7 linked regions of the Mus musculus genome follow. The protein of the gene in region 2 interacts with the protein of the main gene of each other region in a pairwise test. Links are inferred from orthologs where the notes say so. Each region holds a gene or a part of one and is shown on either strand. Other genes may lie near its edges. The genes, in order: Zbtb8a, Sdcbp, Gpatch11, Drap1, Srek1ip1, Hoxa1 and Cda.

Region 1 (3,960 bases), about 120 Mb from region 2:
TTCTACCCATTTTACTAATGAAGGCACAGCACTGTATTTACCCTCATTATGTATGCCACGAAGAGGTGCCTTCCGGGAAGCAGAAAGAAGCCACACAGGGCACCATAATCTTGTGCTTCCCAGCATCTACCAGTGCAAGAAGTAAATATCTGTTCTGTTGTTTTCTTCTAGACAGGGATTCCCTGTGTATGTAGCCCTGGTTGGCCCGGAACTTGATCTGTTGACCAGGCTGGCTTCCAAAACAGAGAGATCTGCCTGCTTCTGCTGGGATTAAAGGTATGCAACGCCACGGCCCAGTAATATCTGTTCCTTCTATGTGACCTGACCTTCGGTAATCTTAGTAGCACATATGGTCTACAGGGTCTAAGATAGGAAAGTCTTAGAATGAAATGTTAGAACACTTAAGAGGGACTGGGTAGATGGCTCAGCAGTTAAAAGCACTGGCTGTTTCTCCAAGGATCTGGGTTCAATCCCCAGCACCCACATGGAGGTTCACAGCCATCTCTAACATCCATGTAAGGGGATTCAACACCCTCATCTGGCACCAGGCAAGCACTTGGTATACTGGCACAAAGGCAGGCAACACACACACACACACACATATATATATAAATCTAAAAAAAAAAAAAAATAGAGAGAGACTCGAGTTTTGAAACTATACTTGGAAAGGCCTCACCGAGAAGATGACATCTGAGTGATTGGTGTCCATAGCAGGAAAGAATGTGTATCTTTGAAACTACTCCAGGCAAACCAAACAGCAGGTGCAAAGGCCGTGAGGTGGACAGGAACAGATGGAGGAGGGATGGGTGGGGAGAGGAGGTCACTGTGGTGTGCCAGTAATGTCGGCTAACCCCAGGGTCTTGGGAGGCGGGGCAGGAAGAAGTAAGACCAAGGCAACCCTGAGAAAACCCTCATCTCATAATAAAATTAAAATTTAAAATAAGGGGCCTGGGGATGTATCTCAATGGTAACATTTACCTAGCCCATGCAAGGCCCGGGTTCAAAATACACACACACACACACACACACACACACACACACACACACACACGCCACACGCACACACACCACACACACCACACACACACACACACACACACCATGGGGGTTTTGGATTTTTTTATTTTTTTAGTAGGATGTGAAGGAGCCATTTAAGGTTTGGAGAGGGCTGGGTTTAGTGGTAGAGTGCCTATGTGACATGCATGGGTTCAATTCAAGTACAGGATAATATCAGGTGTGGTGATCTATGCCTGTAATCCCAGCATTTGGTAGGGGCTGCAAGAGAATCAGAGGTCCAAGATTTAGGGCTAGCCTGGGGTACATGAAACAGTGCCTTCAAAAAAAAGATATATAAAATAGCTTTTTAAAAGAGGAGTTTTAAAACTTATATTAACGTCTTTGAATATTAAAAAGTATATAATTGTGCCAAAAATTTGCCTAGTGCATCCCAGCCCTCCCGAGGTGGAGGTAAGATCAAATTTTCAAGTCTAGCCTGAGTCCGCTTTAAAACAAAGAATAAATAGGTAAATAAAAGTGCGATTTAAGTGATAAAATCAGCGAAGGTTTTGGTACTTTGGAGACTGTTCCGGGACGCTGCAAGAACAGGGCGCCTTGGGGGGCTGCCACGTCTCAGCTCCCTGCCTAGGGATGAGACTCCCTAACCATTAGCGTTTTATTTTTCCCCCTTTCCCCTTTGCTAGGTAGAATAAACAGCCGGAACCCGTAGCCGTCTCATAAGAAATTAAGTGCAATATTTCGTCAAAGTGAAACCACTCCATTTACTAAAGTTCTGCAAATAGAAAGACTTCTAGGTGTTGGCGGCGTGTGTGGTTGGGTGCCCGCTAGGTGTGAATCCTATTCCAAACACGTCTCGCAAAGACGTGGATTACGAATAACCGCACGGTCAAGGGCGAGTAAGCGCGCCAGAGCGCGAAGGGACTAAAGCCGACAGTGTCTCCAGGTGGGAGATGCCAGGGACATTCTGCCGCGGGGCCAGCTGGGGCTCCATATTTCTGCCCTCGGTTCTAAGCCCAGAACTGTCGCGTCGTGATGGAAAACCAGAGAGTGGAGGGCGGAGTGAGACCGCCGGGCTGCAGCGCCCCGCGCCCCGCGCCCGACGTCTGCAGACACGCCCGGCCCCGTGGCGCCGCCTCGCCGCCGCGGCCGTCAGGAGGCTCGGGCGCCTTCCCGCCTTTCCCCGGGCCGGGCCAAGGCTGGCGGCGGGGCGGGCGCGGGCGGCGACGGTGCAGCCATTGTCCCGCAGCCGCGCCCGGGGCCGCCGCCGCCGCCCGCGTCTCCTTTGTGGCCGTCGCCGACCCTCGGAGCCGCCGCTCTGCGCCCCCGGCTGCAAATGGCGCCGGGTGCCCCCTGCGTCGCCCGGCGCACCGGCTGGGGTTGCAGTCCCGGGGCGCACCCCGGCGGCTCCGCCGCCCTCCGCCAGGCTCTGGGCCCGGCCCGCAGCCCCGACGCCCGGGCCGCCCTCCTCCCGCCCGCGCCCGTGCAGCCACTTACCGCGGGGCTCTAGCCGCTCGCTCGCTCGCTCGCTCGCGCGCGCGCGCGCTGCGGAGCGATTCCCGGTTCCGGGTAGGGGAAGCAGCCCCTTTCCGAAGCCGAGGCTTTGCGCCCTAAAACAAGTAGCCCCAACGTGGGAGAAACAAAAGGTATTTGCTGACGTGGGCGTTGGACAGAAACGCCCGAGGGCTGAGGACACAATTAAAGGGGCAACGCACAGATTTCAGGCACCAACCAGCAGCTTCGCCCACTCCCCCTGTCCGTGCCCACGCCCGACTGCACCCTCCGCAGGCACTAGGGCGCCCAGGTTCCCCAGCAGTTGATTGGGGATCATTCTTTTAGTCGGGAGCTTAAATTTTAAAATTGTACTTTACGTTGGGAAAGGCGCCTCCGGAGGGCAGAAGGGCTGGATTTCTAATATGTGGAGATATTGGTTCAAGGAGAGAGGGAGGGACTTAGGCGTGCCCACAAATACTGTATACATGTGACATTATTGTACTTAAGTTTAGCGACGTAAAATGGGAGAGAGTTCCACAAAATCGCCCTTTGACGAAGCACTTAATTTCAGTTATAGCCTTTTAGAAACCTCTGTAGGTCCCCATCAAGCCCTTTGAAGAGGCAAGCCCGGAGGGGCTGAGATTAAGAGGCCGTGATTCTTTATATAAAACTAGTACAAAACAGTGTTTCGTGTTTTCAAATATAAAAATTGGTCGTAAAATCAAGTTTCTCTTCTGACGTGACCCTAATATTTATGGCACACAAATATCAGGTGATACATTTCCTAAAATAGTAAACCGCTGAATTTTCATACTGCTTAAATTCCACAAACTAAATTAGTTTTCTACTTCTTCACGCTGATTGTCAAGTAATGCGGAATGGGGGAGAAGATTCAAAGTCTCAAAGCATGCGTTTAATATTTTGAGGCGTTCCTCTCCCAAGCCTCAGTCAAGCCCATCAGGGTCCTATTTCTCCGATCTCCTCACTAAGTAACTATGTATTCGAACATCATTCTCTCTGAGAATACAATACAGTCATTTCTGAATGAAAAAAAAAAAAAAAGGAGAAATAAAAAGGAAAGGGACATGCCTGGTCCTAGGTATAGTGGAGGAGAAAGTTTATTATAGATATGTGGGAGAGCACAGCCAGAGGCAGGAACATCTGGGAGAGTACAGAGTGAACTGAGCTGTGCCCTGTGATGTGGGGTGGGGGAGGGAGGAGAGAGAGCAGCAGAACCAAGTACAGCAGGAGACCCAAATTACAAAGAGGGTAGGGAGCCAAAATGGTTGGATTATATAGGGAAGAATAGCTCAGCCCCCTGGACTGGAGGATTCAAGCTAGGGGGCCGGATATGCCAGCCTAGAGGACCCTGTAACAGGTATTGGACTGAGGGATGCTGGGAGAACCTGGTGGCCAGGTCAGCTTTGACATGTTAACTAGGCACCCCAGCTA
Region 2 (4,148 bases):
AAGCAATGATGTGCTGGAACAAAGATAATAGTTGAAATCTTCACAATGGTTAAAAGATAGGACCACATATTCTAATTGGGGAAATTAGCGCAAGTCAAATATGTGGCCCATTTCAACTATGTATAATCAAACCCAAATACTTTGGAATGGCTTAGTTTTCCTTCGTTGAAATCACTCTTAAAATTTCCGGTAATGTTCCACTGTGGAACTTTTCACTTCAGACAACTAAATACAAATAATTTAAAAGCATAAATAAGAAAAAGTGTTGTGTTGAATTCAAATAAAATAATAAGGACCTTGGTTGTCCAGAGGGACAAAAGACAATCCTTGTAGTTCATATAATGTGTCAAAGAACATACCTGAATCAATCCTAACAGAAATTCTGTGACCACATGGAATGAACACACCACACACACACACACACACACACACACAGTGAAAGAGAACTCACTTAGGTCAGGTCCCAAGAGAAGTATTTGACTTTAGCTAATCTTCAGATAAAAACTACCTCAGGCATAAAAAAAAAAAAGTTCCCAGGAGTGGGGGCAACGACTGGACTGTAAAAAAATAAATAAACCAAACATCCCAGGGGCTTCTGATGATCAGCCACTGAGACCTGCGCCCATATGTGTCACAGGTTAGTATAGGGTCTATAGAGGGGAAGCGGTTACCCTTCATTACAGCTGTAAGAGGAGCTGGAGCTGTTGTGATCTGTTGTGATGTGACAGGAGTCTTGCAGGGGGAGAGCCTTCAGCTCGGAAACGTGGAAGGAGGTTCTGCTTATTCTCCGTCAGGAGTGGGGCCCAGGAAGGTTCAGACCATGTACACTAGTAGGGCACACTAAGAAGGTGACAAAGTTAAAACTGTAGAGTTGTTGTGAGTCTGGGCCCCAGGGGCCTAGGTTCCTGGCAGGTCTGTATGCAGGAGCTCCAAGGAACACATGCTGTTCAGTTCCCAGCACCCATTCTTGGGGCAACTGACAAAACCACTAATTCAACCCCACAGGCACGCTGACTCTGGCCTCTCCACTCCCTGCACTCCCCATCCCACTCCCACGTATGTACACACACACATACACACACACACACACACACCATTTTTTAAAAAGCTAGCGGAAAGAAACTATCATTTTTTAAATATAGTTGTTCAAAGCCTTTTACAATTTTAAGAAAGTTAAGTATAAGAGGAGTAACTCCTACAATTTAGACATCTGCTCCAATTATAACTCCAGACACAGTAAGACCGCTTCATGTCTTTAGTTGACATGTACTTGCAAAGGGTGACAATCATACCTACTAGCTTGGTCACAGTGACACTGACCAAAACACAGCCAAACTTAACCATAACTGAAAGTTATAATCCAAAATGTTATTACTAACTGGAAAAACAGACACATACAGCAGAAAATCATGCCTTCCTCAGTGTTAAACTGAGGGAAACATATTTACATGTCTGACCATAGAGGCACTATCTGAACCAGTACCTAAGACCGTAAAAGAACTGGCCTGCCAGAGGAAATATGGCTGGCTGGTGGGCACAACCAAAGCCTATGCCAAGCACAGGGGAGGTTTTATACTGTATGCTCTACATTTTAAATGCTTAAAATTTTGAGCCATATGTTTACTAATTACATCCTTAAAAGCTAAAATTTTCAGTAAGTGTTGCAACATTTGGCAATTAATAAGTACAAGGAGAACGATTATTAAATGTATAAGTATTTTAAAGTGTGTGGGTGTCTTTTACAGTCTCTGGATGTTTACTACCTAAGAGAAAGTGGCAAAAATGGGGGGAAGTCGGTGAGCCGTGCTCATTTTAAAGGGCTGCTTAATTCAAAAGTGCATCAAAATCTTAATCAGCCCTTTCTTGTTCATGATTTTTAAATCCTCTTTAATAGATCCAGCACAGCTAAAATCTGCTTCCAAAGTTAAGTGACTCTGGCTATAATGGAGTAATTGTTTACTGAGCCTTCTCGTCATTCCATTTCCTTATTTCCTGGTGCAAGTCATCTGATCAGTAATACTTACGTACCACTTAAGACCTACCAGTTTAAGGACCTAAGTTGTTAACAGGATGAAAAGGCATATTTTCTGCTTTGTCCTATCCTCACATCGGGAAAATGAGAGTACAAATCTGCTGAACTATATCACCTTGACATTTCAAAAGTAAGACAATTGACCAGGGCAGCAGCTATTTTCAATATAACTTTCGTTCTTAAACATTTGTTCTCGGTGTAAAGCGTGCGTGTTAAGAATTTAAAACTCTACACTTTCTAAGTAATTTACCTAATGGAAAACAAAACAAAACAAGAAAAAAAAAAGCTATGTGTCGAAGATAGGACGAATACAACAAACGATCCCACACACTCCACGGCTCCATAACTGCACTTCTGAAACTGGAAACTTTCCACGTCTGTACGCCTCCCTCCGCCCCGTATTAGAAGGAAATCCTCCAAGGAGATCTGAGTCACCAGACCTCCGGAGACCGTTCCTGGTGCACACACCCCGCTGCAAGCCCTGGCCCTCCCTGCCCCCTTCCAGAGCAGCGGCTCCGCAGCTAACCGTTGTCACCTCCGGTCCGTCGCGCCCTGCCAGCCGTCCGGAAGCCGCTGAGGACGCCACCGAGTGCGGGCGAGGACCCGGCCAGACCCACCCGGGGCCCGAAGCAGAGCGCCGGACCAGCTCCGAGACCTGCCGGGGCCCGGGACCCCCGCGGCCACTCACCTGCCCCGAGGACCGCGCCGCTCCTGCTGCCCGCTCCAGCTCCACACAACCGAACCTCGGGGCCCGCCCTGCGCGTCATCACCGCCCCCGCCTTCCGCCGCGCAGGCGCAGGCGCACGCGCCGTCCCCATGACAACGCGGCACAGCCCGAGCGACCACCAGCCCACCCTCCCTCTACGAAATCCTCCCAACTCCCGGCTCCAGCCTCGGTTCCCTGGCAGCCCCCGCCGCCTTTTACTACCCTTTGTTCCCAGAACGAATGCTCATTGGCTGCTGACTGTTACTCTCGGTGTTGAACACACACACACACACACACACACACCCTGAAATAAATAAAACCCACATTCTAATCTTAAAAACACGGACTATGTGCTTTCTGAGAGTTGATGGTGCTGATAGGGGAATCCAGATGTTTGGGGTGTACATGAATATGTGAAACTGACAATATCTACACCAGTCCATGGCTGAGGCCATTTCCTAGTAACAGTATATGACATCATTGGCATGCAAGCAATTGTCTATCTAAATTATTCATCATCACAGTCATTTGAAATTTTATCTCTGGTAAAACAATAAGCATTACATGACAAGAGGAATGAAAATGTGATGCTCCAGGGAGAATATGGCTTAACTGATGAACAACTTGTAAAACGAGTTACGGGATGGAAAAGGAAGAAATACAGTTCTATTCACAGCTGGCAAGATTATCTATGTAAACAAAGAGAAAATAAACACCAGTAAGCAGAATAAGCAGCTACAGCAAGGTTGCTACGATACACGGTTAATATACACACGAGTCAATTACTTTCCTATCTGCACGAAATGAGCAATTGGAATTGAATATTAAAAATATATCAAGATAAAATACTTAGCTACAAGCCTAGTTGAATGAATATCTGTGTGAAGGAAAACTCCTAATTAGAATTTCATGCTGTGGAAATAAATAGGTTGGAATGTCGAAAGTCCAGAGGAAGATCACCATATCTTGGGCTAAATCCTGGCCCTCCAGAACAGCCATTCCTTGTTTCCCTGTGTCTAAACTAACATCTTGTGACAATAAACAACAGGTCTTTAGAATCTATTGAATTAGCAGGCAACTAGCTTCTACCAATCCAAATGCTTAGAATGCCACCAGAAAACACCTTGCGTCTTACAGAAAGGTTCCCTGAACCTCACCCCCACTGCCTTGTCCTGCCTCTCTGAAGTAAGCGCCTATGTATTGTAAGCTTGCCTTGACTGATGACTTCCTCTGTCCTGTAAAATGGTGCACGCCTTTAATCCCAGCACTTGGGAGGCAGAAGCAGGCAGATTTCTGAGTTCGAGGCCAGCCTGGTCTACAGAGTGAGTTCCAGGACAGCCAGGGCTACACAAAGAAACCCTGTCTCAGAAAAACAAACAAAAACAAAAACAAAAACTATGAGAGCTACTT
Region 3 (4,300 bases), on a different chromosome or scaffold from region 2:
GAAGTGGCTCCCAAAAGTTGTTTTCCAATCTCCACAGGGGTGCAGTGCCCTTCCCACAATGATGAACTAAAGTTTAAAAATTAAAATATATATTAAAAAATATCCTGTGCTAGGGCAGTAGTCCCGTTGTCAGGGTACTTGTCTAGCATGCATAAAGCCCTGAGTGTGATCCCCAAAACTGCAAAACCCAGACATTGTGGCACATAGCCTTTGCTGTAGTCTCAGCCCTTAGGAGGTAGAGGCAGGAGGATGAGCTGCCCAGTGAGCTGGAGAACTGCCTAAGCTCCATGTACCCCTAGCTTTAAACAAACAGACATGACCACCACCTCTACCCAACCAATGTCCTTATTTCATTCTATTTGTGTCTTTTGGATATCCAGACACCATCAAATTAGATATACCCATTTACTCACTGAACATTAATGAAGGAATCCGACATATAGTCCTCCTCTTCTGTCATGCTCTCCTTCATCTGACAACACTACCTGCAAATCAAGTAGGACCAAGGGTGAGAGCGATCATCCTCGTCATAATTTTAGTTTATCAATACAGAAATCGACCATGGAGAGTGGCAATGCTTCACTATGCTCCCTTGTATGCAAAGATGGAGAATCTTAGCACCCTATGTCTTAGCAACAGAGAGGCTGCCAACCCAACAAAGGCCAACTGGGAATGGTGTGGGTTTTAGAAACCTCAAAGGTTTCTAAACTGACACACCTCCTCCAACAATGCTTTCCAAAAAGTACTATGAGCCAACTGTAAGCCATTCTAATCAAAGTCACCAGACCACCAGAGACAAATACTCTTGTTTTATCCTTTTTTTTTTTTTTTCTCTCTCCCTGAGATCAGGTCACCCGCCACCTCAGGCTGGCATGGAACTCACCATGTAGTCCACGCTAGCCTTGAACCTGTGATTCTCCAGTTATGAGACAAACCCTCATATAATCGTGTAGTATTCTCCAAGATGACCTGCTCCTAGTCAATTTTGTTGAGCAGTTTGTGTAATAGTTTTTAATAGGATATATTAGAGTGACTTTGTTTTTGGCTTTTCTGGAGGCAGGGTTTCTCTATGTAGTCTCAGCTATCCTGGAGCTCACTTTGTAGATCAGGCTGACCTTGAACTCATAGAGATCCACCTGCCTCTGCCTCTTGAGTGCCACCTGCGCCTGGCTTAGGGTGACTTTTTGGTCACACTATACAGTGCACTCTACAGTTGGTAGTATGAATGAATTGAGTGAAGTCAGTGGTCATATATGAGAACACTCAAGAAGCTCTGTAGAGATGGCCACGTGGGAGGATCCGAGGCACAAATGAGTGAGCCAACTAAGTGCGCCTCTTAGAAGATTAGTCAAGCCCGAGATGAATCAGACTGACCTGCAGTCTCCTAGTACTCACCTAGCTTAGGAGCAGCCCAGTAGATAAGAAGTATTAGTTCCACTTTCCAGCAGGGAAAACTGAGGCTCAATGTGGCTAAATAATTGGTTCACAACCACAAAGAATACAAGTCTTGGTGATCTTGTTCCTGAAACGGAACGAGGTTGTAATTGCTGAGATGGGTGTTGAATCCAGGGCCTCATACAAGCAAGGAATGTGCTTTATAACTGAGCTAAATCTCTAATTCAAACTAGATTATTTTTAAGGGAAGCATTTAACTCCACAGACATGGTGGCCCTCTGGTGTGATTTCAGCACCCAGCAGTTCGAGGACAGTATGATCTACCTGTGTAAAAATACACACACACACACTTACAAAAGTACAAGGGATTACATGTTACTTTTAAAGCTCTGCCTTTTATAGTTATTCCATCTTTTACATATAATTTTCACATAAAATCACACTGAAACTTCACAGCTGGGGGCACTGTAGATTCATTAAATGATACGGTTTGAGGAAGTTAATTACCAATAGTGAGGACATTATGTTAGGAAGTGGAATAAGGGGGCTGGAGAGATGGCTCAGAGGTTAAAAGAACTGTCTGCTCTTCTAGAGGTCCTGAGTTCAATTACATGGTGGCTTTATAACTATTTATAATGAAATCTGGTGCCCTCTTTGGGCCTGTAGGCATACATGCAGGCAGAACGCTATATAATAAATAAATCTTAAAAAAAAAAAAAAGGAAGGAAGAAGGAAAGAAAGAAAAAGAGAGAGAGAGAAAAGAATAAGGAATTGGGTCTTAAAATGTGAAGGTTCCCCTCCTATGAGGACAACATACACTAGCATTATCCACTTCCTTCAAATATAAGAATAAACTCCACAAGTCGATAGATAACCCAGGTAGGGATGCTGGTGGCCTGACCCCTCACTTAAGAGTCACAACAGCGAAGTGGTCAGGATTCTGGGTCTGAGGGGGTAAATCACGCAGCATCTGTTGATGGTTGGAGGTGGTGTGTGTCAAAGAGCCAGAGCAAGTTTAGGTGAAGCGCTTTGCCTGTTCCGAAATAATGGAGCAACCACTTTCTCAACAGGACGATTATAGGTGCTGCTAGCGTATTTCAGTATTGAGCACCGAGTTTGAAGCAGAGCTACAGAACACACAGAGCTGGGCTAACTCTCCTGTGGGTGCCTCGGGCATCGCAGGCTCTTTCTTCCCTCCCGCTCTCCTCCCTCCTGCACCCTCCCACCAAAACGACCACTTACGGATGGGGCGTAGCTGACGCTGTGATAGGCAGTCACAGCCAACTTGCACCGACCTCTGTCATTCTCCTGAGCGCCCGCACACCCTGAAGCCGGAGCTTTACTGCCCGGAACCAGCTCCGCGGAGGTCGCGCTGCGCATGCGCCGTGCAATTGGCGCAGGACCCACAAACATCCCACTCGTCCCCGACAGCCGATTCGCTTCGAAACTTGGGGTGGGCGGGGCTAAGAGGACGTGGGGGCGGGCCGGTCCGCAGGACCTGTGTCTCGCGCATGCGTCGTCTCCCGGCTTCCTGAGGGCCGGAGTTTGGGAGGCGGGGCATCCGGGTCCCTCGGCAGAGCGGAGCTTGGCTGCTCGGCTCGGACTAGACCAGGAGGTGAGGCGGTCTCGCGCGCTGTCAGAGCCTGCAGGCTGTGACATCCCTGGGTCCCAGGACATTTTCCGAGGGCTGAGGAGGGAATTCGAGTTTTGAGGCCGGGGATCCTCAGCCTCGGGGTTGACAGCTCGAGGACTCCTACGACGGGAGGCTGACATCCCAGGGCGGCCCGGGGACCCCGGTTTGCGTTTCCAGCAGACTCTCAGTTGTCGGGGTCTTCGGAGCGGCCCGGTGCATCCAGACCCGGAGCACTGCATTCCCGGGGCGAGGGGTTGTCCCGGGCGCCCCTGCCGCAGTGTCCCCGTGGGGCCCGCCTCCGCCGATCAGAACCCTACGGTCACTCTTCTGGGTCCCGGTGGCGAGGGACGGGTGGCGGAGAAAGCTCCCCAGACGCCTGAGCTCGGTGCTTCGGGGTTCTCAGGGTAGAATGAGTTAATAGCCTGTGTTCTAACAGGGAAACAACCGCCCCGGAATAGTGCCTTTTTTGCAGTATTTACATTTTCCTTTCATTCCATTCTTATCGCCAGTTTTTTCTTTCTTTCTTTCTTTCTTTCTTTCTTTCTTTCTTTCTTTCTTTCTTTCTTTCTTTCTTTCTTTCTTTCTTTCTTTCTTTCTTTCTTTCTTTCTTTCTTTCTTTTAAATCATTGTCCTTTCAAAGTTAGTTCTCTAATGAGAAATGAAACCACGCTTTCTTTCCCTAGCTTAGTGGTTGCATTTATGAAACTTGACATTTAATATTTAAGAAATCCTTACATGTAAGGGCTGGAGAAAGGAATCCGTGATTAAGAATACTTGTTGCTTTTGACAAGGACCTGGGTTTGATTTCCAGCGCCCACAAGATGACTCACAACCATCTGTAACTCCAGTTCTAGGGGGAGCCAACACCCTGTATATATATATATGTGTGTGTGTGTGTGTGTGTGTGTGTGTGTGTGTGTGTGTGTATGTATGTATGTATGTATGTGTATACATACATTTGGGCAAAACACTCCTACACATAAATTAAAAATTCCTTAGAATATATTTTACTCTTTTTTTAAAAAACGAATCTGTTCATTTAAGGTGTGAATTAAGAACATCAATAATGGAGCTAGCTCACAGTTTATTGCTAAATGAGGAAGCTTTGGCTCAGATCACGGAGGCAAAGAGACCCGTGTTCATCTTTGAATGGTTGAGATTTCTTGATAAAGTCCTAGTTGCTGCCAACAAGGTAAGCATTGCCCACCTCACCATAGGTTGATATAAAGAAAATTGAAGGCATTGTGTTTTGAAAATGTTATGAGTCTTTCA
Region 4 (4,069 bases), on a different chromosome or scaffold from region 2:
CCTCCATCAGGAAGAAGTCAGCGAGCTTGGCAACAGATGACTTAGATGACTCTGGGTCTTACAGACGTCGGGAACCCCACATGGCCTCTGCCTCCTGCCCCACTCAGCACCGCTGCTCCCTGAAGATGTACCGCTTGCCTTTGGCACACAAGCTGCCCAGGCTGCTCATATTCACAGTAGGCAGACTGCTTGGCGCTGCAGAGCACTGTAGTTTTCAAGGCCCAGTCTCAGTCCTGACTCCATCTGTCCCTCCTCAGCAGGCCAGGGAGGGGAAGAAGGCTGCTCAAGGTCCCGCACGATGAGAGCTCATCCCTTGGTGCTTCCAGTCTCTAAACCACACCCCTTTCTTCGGTGCCCCTTCACCAGACTCCTGTCAGACTCCCCGTTTTTGCTCAATCACTGGCTGCCCCCACACCATCCCTGCTGCCCCTCATGTGGGGAAGTAGGTGGGTGGGCAATAAGAATACAGCCACAAAGCCACAGGATGAAAAGAAACCAAAATCCTTTTTTTTTTTTTTTTTTAATAAATTTAAGAACAATCCCACCTTTCTCCTCTCCCCAAAGCAATTAATACTAACTAGAAGAGAGCATGGCTGGGGTACAGGGGCACAGGGCGCTAGGAGTCATAATCCTCTTCATCCTCTGCATCGGCTGCTGAGGGGCCGGGGGGTGCTGGTGGCAAAGGCAGGGGAGATGTGAAGGGTATGAAGGGAGTTGGAGGGCTGCGACAAAATGGAGAAAATCAGGCTTGCCACTATGCTGTGCCCAGCCCACAGGCCCCACCCCCTCCTCCAGAGGCAGAGGCAGATGTGGTCGTCCCCCCAGGAGGGAAGGTGCCAGAGAGGACCACTCTTTAGACTGTCTCCCTGACTACCGTGGAGACAAGACCTTCTCAGAACAATGTCTTGTGTCTAATGTCCCCTCCCATTCCCTAAGTCAGCCGCCACCATCAAGTGGCCAGGGAAGCAAACCTAACTGGCTATGGGGAGTTTGGCGTGCCCCTTTCTGGTGCTCCTGGGGTGCTCACCTCTGAAAGTGGGCAGGAGGGTGACTGGCTTGGGGTGGAAGCTGTGGTGTCTCTTCTTCCCCATCAGTATCTGTATCCTCAGACTCATCCTGAGAGCACGGAAGGGGTCAGGGTTAATGAGAGGGCCCGGGCCCATCTCTGGGGAGCCCAGACCCTGGGAGAGGAATGGAGATGGAGGAACAAGAGGCAGCAGACAAGGCTGAGGCCATCACCCATCAGCCTCACTCACCTCCTGCTCAGAGTCTGTCCCGGACAGCTTCTTGTCTTTGCCTTTGCTTCCCGTGCCTCCGTTCTTCCTGCCGCTGCTGCCCGGTTTCCGGCCCCTTCGGGAAGGTACAGTCCATCTGCACGAGGACTCTCTCCTCCTGGTTCATCCCCCAGCCACCCCCAACCTTGTGGCCTTGGCCTTCCCCACCTGTATACCGGGTCTTGGCTACCCACCTTCGAGGACCCTTGTCCCCATCCACGTGGTTGTCCTCCCCATCCCCCTGCATGTCAGGCACTGATGCCACCAAGTCTTTCAAGAAGTCAAACTGCTGCTCGAGTTCAATGCACTGCTTCCTAAAGAAGTGGGAAAGGAAGGGGTTCAAATGGGGCCCCCAAAACACTTAGGGAAGGATACAAACAACTTCTTCGTGTCAGTACAGTGGAACGTTAAAAACACCCCTACTTCCACCAGGCCTCCTGGGAGGGCCGGTGGCTCGGATCTGGTTGTATTCCCTGCACCTGAAACACCTAATCTCTCCTGCATCAGTCCAAATCCACAAAGCTGGCCTCCCTGGGCCTTGCACCACTCCCCCTGTCGGAACTCTGCCTCCTCAAAAGCCCCTCCCAGCTCGGCGGCCACTCACAGGTGGGACGTGGTCATGGTTTTGGCATTTCGAGACTGGGTCACCTGGCAAGCCTTCTTCAACAGGGACTCCAGGAAGAGCTCAAGGGCCCGGGCTGAAGACGTCAAGGAGAATCCAAAAAGGGGAGTGCCGCAGTCCCGCCCCACGCCCCTCAGCCCAACCGGCCCCTAGTAGGATACAGATGATGACAGGCACAGCTGCCGCCACCTTCCCAATCTCTTCGTCCGTCTGCATGATCTTTTTGATCCGCGCCTGCCGAAAGGAAGAGGACAGAGCTCGTCTCTTGCGTCCCTAACACGGGGGACAGAGGGAACCGGGGGTATCCCGGGAGAAGGAGAAGAGGGCGGGGGGCGCTAAGTCAGGAGGGCATGGAAGGGGCGGGGCGTCAGGCCGTGAACACCTAAAGGCACCCGCCCCCCCCACCAGCAGGACCTGGGCCCAAGCCTCCCGGGAGCCCTGCCTGCCGGGGCCCATCCGGGCCACGTGCTCACCGGCGGAAACCGCGCGTTATACTTCTTCTTCTTGCTTGGCATCTCGGGGCCTCTCGTTGCGCCGGGCCCAGCGCCGCCGCCCGCAGCCTCCCGGCCCCGGGCCTGTCCGCCGCCGGCCCGCCGCGGTCCCCCCCCCCACCCTCCCCGGGTCCTGGTGCCGTTTACTCCGCCTACACCACTTCCCGCAGGGTCCTAGTGCCGCCCGTAGACAAGCAGCTCCCCAAACTCGAGCGCTGGGCTTCGGATCCTCTGGGGCGGTGCGCGTCCTTCCCCGGGCTCGCCCGCCACGCCCACCCGCCCCCCAAGCTAAAGTACGAACGTTAGCTCCGCCTCCCGAAGACCTGCACCTCCCGGGATTCTCGCGCCGGCTCCGCCCCTGGACGCTGCCCGCCCCTTCCCCTGGAGCCCCCGCCCCTAGCCTTCTGGTTCCGCCTCTGGCCCCGCCCCGTGACTGTGTTTGTCTATAAAGTTGTTGTTGAGGTGGCGGGACCCTAAGATGGCGGCGGCGGCGGCGGCCGTGGCAGGGGCGGGGCGCGGCGGGGGTGGCGGCGGCGGCGGCGGCGGCGCAGCAGATCCCGGGCAGGAACGGAGCCGGGCCCGAAGTTGGGTTGGCGCGGAACGGAGTGAAGGCCGGAGGTGACTGCGGGGTGGCGAGAGGGACGGCAACCCTTAAGCTGTGGGCACTAATGGCGGCGGATGTGGTAGGGCTGGAGCCTGGTCCTCGCGCAGGCCTGGTCCTATCTGGTTCGAGTCTGGATGGTACCCATTGACCCCCTGATGGGCCGCTGCCCTCTCTGGGGCTCAGAGCCTCGGTGTTTCACGGTGCCCCCAATCGTTCACCGGGGGAGGCCTGGCCCTCTACAGCCATCCTCTGAGGTTGGCGACCCTGCGTTTTGCCTACGTCCATTATATTGCAGCGCCGCGCTACCTTGCAGGACTCTAGTCCGGTGGTGTAGCCGAGCCCCGTGCCAGTTCACACTTAAGCTCTGGCGCTCTTTACGGGCATGACCTTGGGCAAGCCCCTTTTCTTAAGAGTTTCAATTTCCTTGTTTGTAAGCAGTGAAAGTAGTACTAACTATAGCTACTCCACCTCAGGCGTCTTATTCTGGAGACAAATCTAGACAGGATCAGTTGTTACCCATTGTGAAGATGAAGCAACTGAGGCACAGACATTATGTCTTGCCCAGGGCCACAGTTTACTGCAGTGCCTGGCACCCTCCAGGACCCAGCACTTTTTATTTACTGTCTCAAACCTCTGACTCAGTTCCCTCACAACAGGATGGAACCAAATGAGGAGCTGGAAGAGGAAGACTCTCCAGGTGGCCGGGAGGATGGCTTCACTGCTGAGCACCTGGCTGCAGAGGCCATGGCAGCCGATATGGACCCCTGGCTGGTATTTGATGCCCGTACCACACCTGCCACAGAGCTGGATGCCTGGTTGGCCAAGTACCCACCATCTCAAGTTACTCGCTATGGGGACCCAGGTTCACCCAACTCTGAACCTGTGGGCTGGATTGCAGCCTATGGGCAGGGTTACACCCCCAACTCAGGGGATGTACAAGGGCTGCAGGCGGCCTGGGAGGCTCTGCAGACCAGTGGGCGACCCATCACACCAGGTACCCTGCGCCAGCTGGCCATCACCCACCATGTGCTCTCCGGCAAGTGGCTGATTCACCTGTCACCTGGCTTCAAGCTGGACC
Region 5 (4,245 bases), on a different chromosome or scaffold from region 2:
TCAATGGAGCCCCATTTTCCTTCCGTGCAGCATCTGGATCGATCATCCAAGAAATTATCTTAACATCTTCTGTATCTGCACTTTCTAAAGCAGTTGCATTGTGCGTTTGTGCCACCTGTCAAGCCTATTATCTTGATTTTTTTGGGGGGGGTGGGTTTAAGCAGTTTATGTAAGTCATTCCATCTGGCTTAATGACACAATTTATTATTATGCTTTGAAACATTATTTTGAATTGAAAGGTTAACATTTTTTTTAACACTGGTCTCAAGTTTAAGAGCATCTCAAACAAAGCTAGAAGAAAAATCACTTTTTGTCCCTTTTCTTCAGGAGCAAATTATCATTCCTAAAGTTTTACGGTGTGTCTCCTGGTGTGTTCATACTCTACCAGTGCTCCAGCGCCTGCCCAAATGATGGGCAGTGACAGCAGGCCAACTCTGGGTGCAACTGTGTGATGCAGAGGTCACCAGAGCCTCACGAAATGCTTAGGCAAGTACTGTGCAGGCTCGTGGTTCTCAGCTCTTTCCTTTACATGCTATTATTCCTAGACTCCAGTCAGGTCTTCCCTTCACACATTACCCACTGTGTCTGCACAGTCCCTCACACTTTATCCTTTTAGTCCTATAATAAGTGTTGGTTTTGACTCTGACTTCTTGTCCAGTATTCTGTTTATTCCCATGCTATCTATGGGCCATTTCCATCCCGGGCCAGATAGACCTCAACACAAGTTCCAGACTGACCTTACCACCATCTCTCAACTCTGATCTTGAGGGATGTCTTCCCAGTTATGAGGCCTCCTCAAATGAGCTAATGTCAAAAACCAGGTTAATCTCATTTCCTACCCACACCAAAGCAATTAATTCTTAGTGATTCTACCACCACCACCACCCCCCCCTCCAAATTAGCTGCTTCTCTCTTAATGAGTCTACATCCTCAATGGTAACATAACTGACCAGAATCACCCTTAAGTACCAACAACGCCTCTACATTAACTAACTCTCCTCTAGGTCACAGTATCCTAAAATGTAATTTTTCTTAAAGCTGTTAAGTGTTTTCCTACTGTCTATTAACATCCTAACACTTTGTTTTTGCTTGTAAGGTCCTTCAGTCGCAGGGAATCTATTGTGCCATGGATATGTTGGAGAATGCATTTGCATTCATGGTGGCCAAGAGCTTGGATAATCTCCATTAGCTTTTGTAATAGGCAAGTTACTTGATTTCTCCGTCTGTGAAGTGAGACTAACAACAGCTATCTCATAGCAGTGGTTATTAAAGGGAGGAAAAAAATATACAATGTTTGACATAGTATCAGATACATGGGTTACATAGTAAAAGTTAGATACTTTGAATTATCGCTTTAGTTAATTTCTCTTTTCTCTCAGGTTAGCTGATCGTTAGCCACGGCAGGGCTCTTTCATTCCCTCTTTTAGTTCCTCTTCCTTTCTGTATCTGCTCCCTCTCCCTGCAGGTCCCCTGCACTCTCACCTTTCTTTAGCTTTCATCTGGAACATCCTTTTGTACACTCTGGATCCTGTTAGGTGTCCTGTTTTTGCTCGCCCCAGCGTTAGTTCTACTTTCTGTAAATCCCCCCCCCCCCGAATTCTAGGAGAGCAAGGGTTTCTACCATGCTGACTGCCACACACTCAATAAATGTAGTCACCTCTCTTTTCACAGCTCCTGGAGTGCTCCTCTGCAGAAGTTAGGAAGCAGCCCCACCCCGCAACAGTAATCTCTAGAATAAAGTTCAGAAAAGGCTGCCACGGAACAAAGACAGGGGTCAAACAGTAGCGGGAAGGGGCAGTGTTAAGCAAAGTTGGGGCTTCACAAATAGTTTGAGGGTCTTTCCTACAGTACTATGCACTGTGAATCTCCGAGATGCGAGGCGGGTATATCTCTTAAAAACACCTGCTTGATAATAGGGTTTTACAGAAACACATTCTGACAAAGTCGGCTTGGGGAAGTTCTTAGCGGCTCCCCAGTAAACTGGAGCAACAAAAACATCCCCGGAGCTCAGTTTGCCGTTTCTAGGTTAGAAACCTCTGAACACAAAAGTGGAACCTACAAAGAATCTTAGATCTAATTCGAGAAAGCACTGTCTTGAAACTGATAGGGAAACTGAGGCCCGGAAGGGCACAGCAGCGGGCCTGCAGCCACATAGAAATTACAGGCTGGAAGTGCTAGAACAAGCCTCAGGTGCTCTTCTTGGCGACTTTCAGTATAATGTGTATAGCCACCTGGATTCGGCAAAATGCTCACATTTCGAATTTTATTTTGAAATCGTGTGAAAGTTACAGTCTTCTGGGCAAGTTGTCCCCTTAGGCCTACAGTTCTCATTGTCACCAAGTCCCTTGTCCCTCTTACAATACACTTTCCCTCTAATCCTGTGCAGTTTGGGCTTGTCCAAGAATGACAGAGATGATCTTTCCCTATCTTTCTCACCCCGCTTTGAACTTGTAGTATAAGCTTTTTCATGTAAGCCGACCAAATCTAAATTTTTAGGCCTTCGCCTGATTCCCCAAGTGCTCGCTGCCACCCACCCCCGTGCTCTGGGCTTCCCTGCTCGTCTCATTCCTCTGGAGTGAGAGAGCCCTGCGGTTGACCTTCACCTGGGACTGCCATGATGCAAGGTGAGTGGGATCGTCGGAGTCCTGGGCTTTCGAGATCACGTTAGGTTCAGGTCCGTTGCGAGGACAGCGCATTCCCAAAGGGATCTCTCCCACCCGGCCACTACAACTTCACCGGGCAGGGGAAGGCCCGATGCACATCTAGGGTTGGCGGAACTAAGTGGCTGTGGATGCAGTTTCCAGGGGTGTCCTACCGCGGAGCACACGCGGTCGGAACCATTTCGGCCCGCTTCGGGAGGTGAGTGCTATCTGCAATCGCCTGACCTGGACGCAGCCCCGGGATTTACGGATTGGCCCTTTAGCTCGTATTATAAACCTCGCTACAAATTCTCTAAAGTTGTAGAGGTCCTATAGTCTTTTCTAGTTTCCTGAAGGACAGGGAAGTCCCCCCTCCCGGGGTTAGCGGTGCTCCGGTCCGGGAGCAACATGGCGGCGTCCATGATGGGCTAGTTTGGGGAGTAACTAGTGATTAGTACGGCTGTCTTGTCCGACTCTGACCGAGTGAAGTTTTCCCCCAAATACTCAGGTTAAAGAATTGTGTGCTAACAGGTGGGCCTCGCCGGAGACCCGCCATTCGCTTGCGGCCACACTAAGGAGCGGAGTCCTGAGCACTGAGCAAGATGAGTAACATCTACATCCAGGAGCCGCCCACTAATGGGAAGGTGAGAGCCTTACCTCCTGGACACGGTGACTGGGGGCGGGCAGGGAGGGGCAGCTATCGGGGATTTTAGAGGTGGAAAGACCAAAGGACTCTTCTCCACACCCTGCATATGGCCAGTGTTGCATTTATATTCTTTACGGTGACGTGTCTCAGCATATTTTTGAAAGAGTTCTTGGGCAACCTCCCTATTCGCTAGTCTTCTGACCCCTTAACTTCCTTGATCCAACTCACGTGAGCGCCTTCTAGTGTCTATTGTTTTTAAGACTTATCTCAAGATTGTACACTTTTGCTTGTTGTTTAACTTGGAGATCGTGCATTCTCTACAGTCATTATTGAAGGCCTCTTTGGCACCACGCACTCTACTAGGTGCTGATGATACAAAGGTTGGTATTCTACCTTTATATGTGTGTCTGTATTATAGACACACACACACACACACACACACACACACACACACACACGTATATATATACTAATTCCCTATCTCAGGATTACAGACGTGCATGAACACACCTGCCTTTGCTTGGGAGGTATTGAAGAAGAGATTATATTGCCATGACAGTGATGGAGGGAAAACAGGAAATGATGGGGAAAACATCTTGGAGGAGATATCTTTTGAGATAATTGTCAGTTAGAAGCAGGGGAGGAGTGAGGAATGTTATTTCATAGGAATGGGAGTAGATTCCCTGATAGATTTCATGCTGAGCTATATATTTCTAGAGGACAATATTAATTTTAATGAATAAATGCGTGTAGAGATGAAATAGACTGACCATTCCACAATGCAGAACCTTCACGCTTCATTTCTCTAGTTTGCTATTTTACCTGTTCAAATGTAACAAAGAAGCCTATCAAATAGCAGATCTCAGTGATGCCCTGGGTCTCAGCAATTACCCAGTATTTAACAGTATCTTACCTTGGTTTCTTTCCTATATAGAATGCAAACACTATAGAGTTGAAGAT
Region 6 (4,157 bases), on a different chromosome or scaffold from region 2:
CCATGTGAAATGGGCCAACTTAGTAGTAAGCAACCACTGTAGTCCAGCCAAATACACAAGATGCTTAGGCATACCTAAAACTTGAATACTTTTATTACAGACATCTTAAGACCCGTAAACTCTGCTCTGGACCACATCACTCCAGGATCTCAGAGCTGTTCATGATTGTACAGTAAATGGAGACTATCATAGGCTCACAAAGAATAACTGATAGAACTCAGTGTGATATTTCAGGGACATCAGAACATTGTGCGACATGCAGAAGACTAGTCACGAATCACACAAAATATACATTCATTGTGCCATCCATCACATTAACAATTAGCTGGAAATACACTGGATCCAGCCATGATACAAGACAGTGTGGAAGGAAAGGGTGACTGAAAGAATGAATACCTTTGGGTTACAAATGATCCAGCATGATTTTTAAATGCAGGGTGGCCAGAGAAGCAGGAAGAATTGGTTAGAGTTTGGGAAGACCTGGCACAGGCAAAGTGCTTGGCAGGCCTTCTTAACTCTGAAAGAACCAATTGAGGCCAACTTCTGAGGCATCTGACTCTGTTTGAATGAAAGAGGTTTTCTTCTTTCGCCCATAATCACACATGAACTGTACCAGTTTTGAGAATTTGTCCACCCTGTTTGATTTAGTGACCTACATATTTCTATAAAATGTGTATAAAGATAAATCTCTGACGGGAAAGCATTTACAACCAGCAAACTCACACACATGAAACCAGCTAAGTTAGGGGGTGAATTAATTGTGTAAACACAGTGCATCTCTTCTTCATGAGTCTTTGGACACTCTCTCTCCTCTATGTCCTACTTAAGGGCTAGGTGGAGAAGAACAATACATAGATAAAAGGAGAGATGCCTCCTTCCTGCAAATGTCTGATGGCAAAGGGAACTAACTGTTCTCCAGCCGACATCTAAAAGGAATCATAGGTTGTGGGGAGAAAAAAATCTCACAACAGTGAAGGAAAGGATGTTGGGAGCCATCAGCAATTGATGTGGACACCCGATGTGGATGAAGGAGTTAACTTCCAACCAAGGCTCCAGAATTCTCTGGAAATACCTTATCTTGGCCAGGAGCTCCCCAGATGGGACGAGAAAGGAAGAGAGAGTCTGTAAAGAAAGGAAGATAAGCTAAGAATGTGCTTTGGGTAAGAAATCCCAGCCCAGGGAGAAGCCTGGGCTGCAGAGTTGGGCTGGAGTAGCCTCAGTGGGAGGTAGTCAGAGTGTCTGAGGTAGACGATGCCGGAGAAGGGGCACTGGGCGAGGGGCTAGATTTCTCAGATGATTCTTCCGTTTTCTCATCGCTGCCAGGAGGAGTGGCAGGGGAGATGGGCAGGAGCCCCTCCTTCTCACGCTTCTTCTGCTTCATGCGGCGATTCTGGAACCAGATCTTCACCTGGGTCTCATTGAGCTGTAGGGACGCGGCAATCTCCACCCTGCGCGCTCGTGTAAGGTACTTGTTGAAGTGGAACTCCTTCTCCAGCTCTGTGAGCTGCTTGGTGGTGAAATTGGTGCGCACTGCGTTGGGTTGACCCACGTAGCCGTACTCTCCAACTTTCCCTAGGGTAGGGGAGGAAGAGAGAAAAGATTAAAAAAAAAATCTTAAACCTTTATCCAGATTGCCCCAAGCTTGAGGCAATATTCGGTTAACTACTCAGCGAGCACAAACCCTATCGGGAAGCGCCAGTGACGATGTGTAAGCAGTGTTAACCTGAAGTCAACCATTAGTGTGATCAGGCTCGTGATTAATGGAGCCTTGTAGATATTAACAGGACATCACCATCACCACCATCACCACCATCACCACCTCCCACTCCCCGCACACTATCTAACTATAGACCATTTAAACCTCAGCCCCTGTGAAACGCTTTTGCCTCTGCACACCTGGGCACCCTACACCACTCACTACAACTCTAGATGACATTAGACATAAACAAGAACCAATCTTTTAAAAATCATTCATTTTCCTAGGAAACTAGGTGTGCCAGCCCCTTTCAAAAATCGAACAGCATTTGTCTGTCAGCCGGCAGGACTTACCTGTTTTGGGAGGGTTTCTTTTAACTTTCATCCAGTCAAAGGTCTGCGCTGGAGAAGACGTCTCTGAAGCAGGGGAACGACAGGCTTCTTGGTGGCTGGCGTGGAGAGGGGATAAGGAGTTATTATACGTGGCCAGGGCCAGAGTCTGCTGCTCTTGTCCATATGAGTGGTGAATGTACTGGGGCGAGCCCACTGTGCCCCCAGCATAACCCTGGTGGTGGTGGTGATGCTGGACCATGGGAGTCGAGAGGTTTCCAGAGTAAACAGCGGGAGCGCACGGGGGGTACCCACCACTTACGTCTGCTTCCTGATTTAATCCATAGGGGCCATAAGGCGCACTGAAGTTCTGCGCGCCATAGCTTGGACCACAACTCGAGTGGGAATAAGAAATCCCAAGGTTTCCAGAAGTCTGGTAAGTAGCCGTCTGGGGGTGGTGATGGTGGTGGTGGTGGTGGTGGTGGTGGGGCGAGCTGATCTGCACCCCCCTGCCCACTAGGAAGCGGTCGTCGCCGCCGCAGCTGTTGGCACTGACCGCGCAGGATTGGAAAGTTGTAATCCCATGGTCAGAGGGGTAAGCTCGCGCCGAGCAGGTCCCAGAGTCGCCACTGCCAAGGATGGGGTATTCCAGAAAGGAGTTCATTCTTGCATTGTCCATCTGTCACTGAGTGATTGGATCCTGCGAAGCCCTGGGTGACCGTGCCAACTTTCTCACTTCCTCCATAGGACCAGAGAAGAAAAATGATATGAATGTACAGTGCGCAAGAGGCGGGGCGGGCAGGCGGAGGGCTCGAGGGGAGGACACGTGACTCTACCAGCCAATGGCTGAGCCGCCTGCGAAAGTTTACCGGCTGCGGCCGTGATGGATCACCGTTTCAGTGGCATTTAAATCCCCGGCGCTCCTCAGTGTAGGTGACGCGCGCTCGCCCCCCCAGGCAGCCCGGGCCGCGGCGGTAGCAGCGGCCGCTCCCGGAGCTGACTTGGAGCACTGGGACCAAAGGGAGTCGAGACTGCCTTCTGCGCGCGCCCGGCTTTGCGCGCCTCCGCCACCAGATGTGGGGGGATGGGAGGCCCCCTCCGCGGCCCCTTCCCCACCCAGCCCAGAAAGCTGAACTGGCAAGAGGTGAGAGGGGATGAGGCCTCCTGGCTCTCTTGTGGCGGGCATCTTGTGGGCCGAAAATCTCTGCGTGGTCGCAAGGACCCTGGCGGAGCTGGGAGCACGCGGGGTGGGAAGGGTGGGAATCCAACAGACACCACGCCCTCAGCTCGGGGCGGCCGCCACTACCCAACCCCTGCAAGAGACCTGAGCCCGGAATCCCGGCGCCTAGGGCGAGGTTGCGTCACTGGCTCGCCAGCCTCGGAATGTAGAGGGACGTGCGCAGAGGATTGACTGGGAGGAACCATGGTGAATGTGCTGGGGACCAAAGCAAGAAAAGAAACTTCTGTCCTCATCCAAAGGGTCTTAGAGCCCTCTTCCCTGATTCCTGCCGGCCAATAGCATGGCAATGGGAGCTTCTGTAATTCGACCCCAGGGTCCCGGGATTCGGGGGTGGGGGTGGGGGTGGGGGGGGCTACGAACCCAGCTCTCTGGGAAAGGCCGGGTGTCCACTCTCTTCTCTGCCCTCTCTCCTTCTCTGTCGCTTTGCTCTTGGTAGCCCTGCAAAATCGGGGCAACTCTGCTACTGGAGTTTAAGGAGTAGAAGGCAAAGGAGATTGTTGACGCCAGCAGACGTGGCTGACTGGCGTGAGGGCCGAGCCTGAGCTGCAGGCCATCTGCCAACTCTTAGAGACCCAGGAGCATGCTCACTCTAGGGTAGGCCTCAGAAGGGCAGATAACAGGCAACTCCTAAAAAGTATGCAGACCTCCCCCGTCGAGTTTCTCTCTTCCAGGAGAGGCAAGTTAGGAGTGGAAGAGCCCCCCCTTCCCACCATCCCCTATTGCCTGTGTGGACTGGGGCATGGGGGGTGTTGAGGACCGGCAGGTGGGAGGGACAGATGACTGAGTGGATGGGACCCTTTCCAACGGGCTTGTGTGAACCTGCAGGTCACTCCCCAGAGAGACACGTGCAGATGTGAGCATCATCCCAGGACAGGGGTCCTGTTTCCCATCA
Region 7 (2,964 bases), about 130 Mb from region 2:
TCCTGTAACAAAGACCCGTGAGAACCAGCTCAAGAGGAAAGGTTTACCTGGGCTCGTGGTCTTGGAGGGTCTGGTCTGAGGCACCATTAACTTTGAGCCTCTCTGGCGGTCTAAGCGCACATCTCTGTGTGAGTGTGTGGTCACGACCAGCTCACCTCATAGCTGGGAAGTGATGAAGAGGAGGTACAGCCTGGAAGCCTCCATATCCTTCAGGGACACATCCCCAGTGACCTAGCTTCCTCCCACTCGGTCCAGTCCGTGGACCTTGGAGGCACATCCCATGTCCAAGCTATAGTGAATGGGCTCTTGTAATCAAACCCTGCCTAAGGGCCTCCGGTCCAAGAACGCAGAGGCAAGGAGCTTCGGCTCTCAGACGCCACTTAGAGAGGCAACCTGGGAAGCTCCCACATCCTCTGCCAGAAGAAAGCAACTAAGACTGCCTGCCCCGTGAGACAAACCACCCCTGAGAACTGTATACACAGACTAAGAACAAAAACACGTTCTTCTCAAACAGCACGTGCTGTGGCATTTATAATCTGAAAAGTCACACGACAGAGCCTAAGAAGGCTGGTAGGGAGGCAGACCGGGTCTGGAATACCCGTGTCTTTGGGAGTGGAAGGAGAGGAGTGCTCTGAGTCCCCAAGAGGATGTGGGCTTTGGCCTAGGTGAGTGGCACCTTCCATCACTCAAGGGGAGGCTGTGGTGTGTGAATCAAGGTCACCCTTGCCCAGCCATTTGGGACCCATGTGGCAAGTGTCCCCAAGGCCCAGCCAGAGACAGCATCATTATGAAGTCTTCCAAGAGCCGTTCCTTAGGTAGGGCTTGCACATTCAGCAGACATTCTATTCTTCAACCTTCACTGAATCTTCTGCAGGTCTTCAGGTCCAAACGAGGCCGGCAGCAGCTCCTGGACCGTCCTGACTACGAATGTGCCATCCGGCTTGGTCATGTACACGGCCCAGTCGGTGCCAAACTGGAAGAGAGGGCAAAGTTGTGTGAGGGAGGCCGTGGGACTGAGGGAGATGGAAGGTACGGGTTCGAATGTGACTCTACTATTTTCTTTGTGCCTTAGTTTCCATTACCTGTCAAATGGGAGTAACAATAGTTGTACCTGGCTCACAGAGCCTGGGGGAGAGCTCAGTGGAAAAGCATTGGCCAACATCACCGTGCATGGCCTGTTGTCAATGGGCCACGAGCATCCCCTTGGAGGATGCTCCCAGGAGCTTTGTAAAAATAATACCTTTGCCAGGCGTGGTGGTGCACGCCTTTAATTCCAGCACTTGGGAGGCAGAGGCAGGCGGATCTCTGAGTTCGAGGCCAGCCTGGTCTACAAAGTGAGTTCCAGGACAACCAAGGCTACACAGAGAAACCCTGTCTCGAAAAAAACAAAAAAACAAAAACAAAAAACCCTTCTCTCTGTTTTCATGTATGTGTGGTATACACGTGTTTGTATGCATGTGAGGGGGGGCGCATATGGGTAAACATGCATGTGGAAGCCCAAGGGTTGGGTCCCGAATCATCCTTCATGGCTCCTCTGCCTTATTCACAGAGGCAGCGTCTCTCTATCAAACCCAGAGCTCGGCCATATCACTAGTCCAGCCAGCCACTTTGCTGTGGGGATCCCCTGTCTCCGCCTTCCAAGTCTGGAATTGCAGGCATCTGCCCAGATCACCTGGGTTTCTAGGGATGCAAACTCTGGTCCTCGAGGGTTAAATATGCAAGAGTTTAACCACTGAAATCGCTTCCTAGCACCGGTTGAAATATCTGTGCCTTGGGCTGCAGAGATGGCTCGGCAGTTAAGAGATGGCTCGGCAGTTAAGAGCACTCAGAATTCTTGCAGAGGAGCCGAGTTTATCTCCAACCCCTACACTGGGAAGCCCACGATTTCCTCTAACTCCAGCTCCACGAAGATCTGATGCTCTGGCCTTCGTGGGCAACTGTGTTTAAAATGCACATCTTGGCACAGACATAATTAAAAATTAAATCTTTTTTCAAAGTCTATGCCCCAGAGCTAAGCTTCCTTCTGCAATGGCAAATGACAGCCAACACCCGCTGCCCTCTACAGGTTCCCCTTTGTACCTCCAAGAAGGAATTTTTGTCTCTTTCAGGACACTCAACACACTATGTTGACATTATAGCATTATCGCCCCCTGGAGGTGGTGGCTGTCATTACATTCCTTTCACTATTGGAGAAACAGACTTAGTGCTATCAATCAGCTGTGGTGGTTTGAAAGCAATGGAATTCTTGGTCCCCAGTTGGCCAACCTGTTTGGGGAGGGTTGGGGAATATGGGTGTGCTGGAGGAAGAGCCGCTGGAAGCAGGCTCCGAGGTTTCAAAATCCATGGTTTCCAGCACTCTCTCTGTTTCCTGCTCACTGTTCCAGATGTGAGGGAGTTTCCAGATGTGAGCTTCCAGCTTCCAGCTCCAGCCAGCATGTCTCTCATCTGCCGTCCCTGCATTATGGACCCCAACCTTCTGGAACCATTAGCCCCAAGTAAACTTCAACTGCTTTGGTCATGGTGTCTCATCACAGCAGTGGGAAGGTAACTAACTAATACATCAGCAGAGATGAGCATGTCTCCAGAACTTTCTCCCATGCCCTATCTGGGTCCTCTGGGGCTCTCTGTCTTCACCCACCACGTGTTTTAGTGATAGGAGCCCTTTCCTATCCACCAGCGAGGTGGGTAGGTGGGGAGTTAAGTCGGTGACAGAGAGGAAGTCAACAGACCCGACTTCTTCCTGGCAGGCATGGTGAGATTCACAGACCCTGGTGCCTAGTCGGAGCCCAGTTCTCAGAGGCCGTGGCATCGTGACTGATGTGTGGGCTGCCAGCCGAGGCTGGTCCACGCCTCCTGTTCTTCCACGTGTCTGTCTGAATCACTCTCAGACACGGTTACCAGACACTATCAATCTTTGGGATTTTTCAGAATTAAGGTTTCAAGGGTGGTGAATTTTCATGTTTA

The links.
Region 1: the proteins of Sdcbp (region 2) and Zbtb8a interact in binary tests that used the Homo sapiens proteins (3 or more experiments, as listed by UniProt). The two-hybrid records come from large-scale screens. The link is inferred for Mus musculus from reciprocal best matches to the Homo sapiens genes SDCBP and ZBTB8A.
Region 3: the proteins of Sdcbp (region 2) and Gpatch11 interact in binary tests that used the Homo sapiens proteins (3 or more experiments, as listed by UniProt). The two-hybrid records come from large-scale screens. The link is inferred for Mus musculus from reciprocal best matches to the Homo sapiens genes SDCBP and GPATCH11.
Region 4: the proteins of Sdcbp (region 2) and Drap1 interact in binary tests that used the Homo sapiens proteins (3 or more experiments, as listed by UniProt). The two-hybrid records come from large-scale screens. The link is inferred for Mus musculus from reciprocal best matches to the Homo sapiens genes SDCBP and DRAP1.
Region 5: the proteins of Sdcbp (region 2) and Srek1ip1 interact in binary tests that used the Homo sapiens proteins (3 or more experiments, as listed by UniProt). The two-hybrid records come from large-scale screens. The link is inferred for Mus musculus from reciprocal best matches to the Homo sapiens genes SDCBP and SREK1IP1.
Region 6: the proteins of Sdcbp (region 2) and Hoxa1 interact in binary tests that used the Homo sapiens proteins (3 or more experiments, as listed by UniProt). The two-hybrid records come from large-scale screens. The link is inferred for Mus musculus from reciprocal best matches to the Homo sapiens genes SDCBP and HOXA1.
Region 7: the proteins of Sdcbp (region 2) and Cda interact in binary tests that used the Homo sapiens proteins (3 or more experiments, as listed by UniProt). The two-hybrid records come from large-scale screens. The link is inferred for Mus musculus from reciprocal best matches to the Homo sapiens genes SDCBP and CDA.

Annotation. Positions count from the first base shown.
Region 1 is NC_000070.6:129,375,229-129,379,188, forward strand, and holds the start of Zbtb8a (zinc finger and BTB domain-containing protein 8A), read right to left. Parts: upstream 2,801-3,960; 5' UTR 2,512-2,800; intron 1-2,511. UniProt on the Homo sapiens protein: May be involved in transcriptional regulation.
Region 2 is NC_000070.6:6,364,332-6,368,479, reverse strand, and holds the start of Sdcbp (syntenin-1), read right to left. Parts: upstream 2,801-4,148; 5' UTR 2,721-2,800; exon of another isoform or gene 2,559-2,720; intron 1-2,558. UniProt on the Homo sapiens protein: Multifunctional adapter protein involved in diverse array of functions including trafficking of transmembrane proteins, neuro and immunomodulation, exosome biogenesis, and tumorigenesis.
Region 3 is NC_000083.6:78,834,016-78,838,315, reverse strand, and holds the start of Gpatch11 (G patch domain-containing protein 11), read right to left. Parts: upstream 2,801-4,300; 5' UTR 2,638-2,800; intron 1,523-2,637; 5' UTR 1,396-1,522; intron 486-1,395; 5' UTR 473-485; coding exon 414-472; intron 67-413; exon of another isoform or gene 1-66. Other genes in the region: Heatr5b (HEAT repeat-containing protein 5B), read left to right, coding at 4,095-4,220.
Region 4 is NC_000085.6:5,422,304-5,426,372, forward strand, and holds Drap1 (dr1-associated corepressor), read right to left. Parts: upstream 2,677-4,069; 5' UTR 2,412-2,676; coding exon 2,370-2,411; intron 2,131-2,369; coding exon 2,058-2,130; intron 1,973-2,057; coding exon 1,879-1,972; intron 1,589-1,878; coding exon 1,469-1,588; intron 1,372-1,468; coding exon of another isoform or gene 1,351-1,371; coding exon 1,257-1,350; intron 1,117-1,256; coding exon 1,028-1,116; intron 723-1,027; coding exon 617-722; 3' UTR 501-616; downstream 1-500. Other genes in the region: AI837181 (UPF0696 protein C11orf68 homolog), read left to right, coding at 2,866-3,005, 3,648-4,069. UniProt on the Homo sapiens protein: The association of the DR1/DRAP1 heterodimer with TBP results in a functional repression of both activated and basal transcription of class II genes.
Region 5 is NC_000079.6:104,815,725-104,819,969, reverse strand, and holds the start of Srek1ip1 (protein SREK1IP1), read right to left. Parts: upstream 2,801-4,245; 5' UTR 2,617-2,800; coding exon 2,604-2,616; intron 1-2,603. Other genes in the region: spliceosome-associated protein CWC27 homolog, read left to right, coding at 3,242-3,283. UniProt on the Homo sapiens protein: Possible splicing regulator involved in the control of cellular survival.
Region 6 is NC_000072.6:52,155,518-52,159,674, forward strand, and holds the start of Hoxa1 (homeobox protein Hox-A1), read right to left. Parts: upstream 2,801-4,157; 5' UTR 2,705-2,800; coding exon 2,050-2,704; intron 1,573-2,049; coding exon 1,217-1,572; 3' UTR 1-1,216. UniProt on the Homo sapiens protein: Sequence-specific transcription factor. Regulates multiple developmental processes including brainstem, inner and outer ear, abducens nerve and cardiovascular development and morphogenesis as well as cognition and behavior.
Region 7 is NC_000070.6:138,338,028-138,340,991, forward strand, and holds the end of Cda (cytidine deaminase), read right to left. Parts: intron 974-2,964; coding exon 857-973; 3' UTR 501-856; downstream 1-500. UniProt on the Homo sapiens protein: This enzyme scavenges exogenous and endogenous cytidine and 2'-deoxycytidine for UMP synthesis.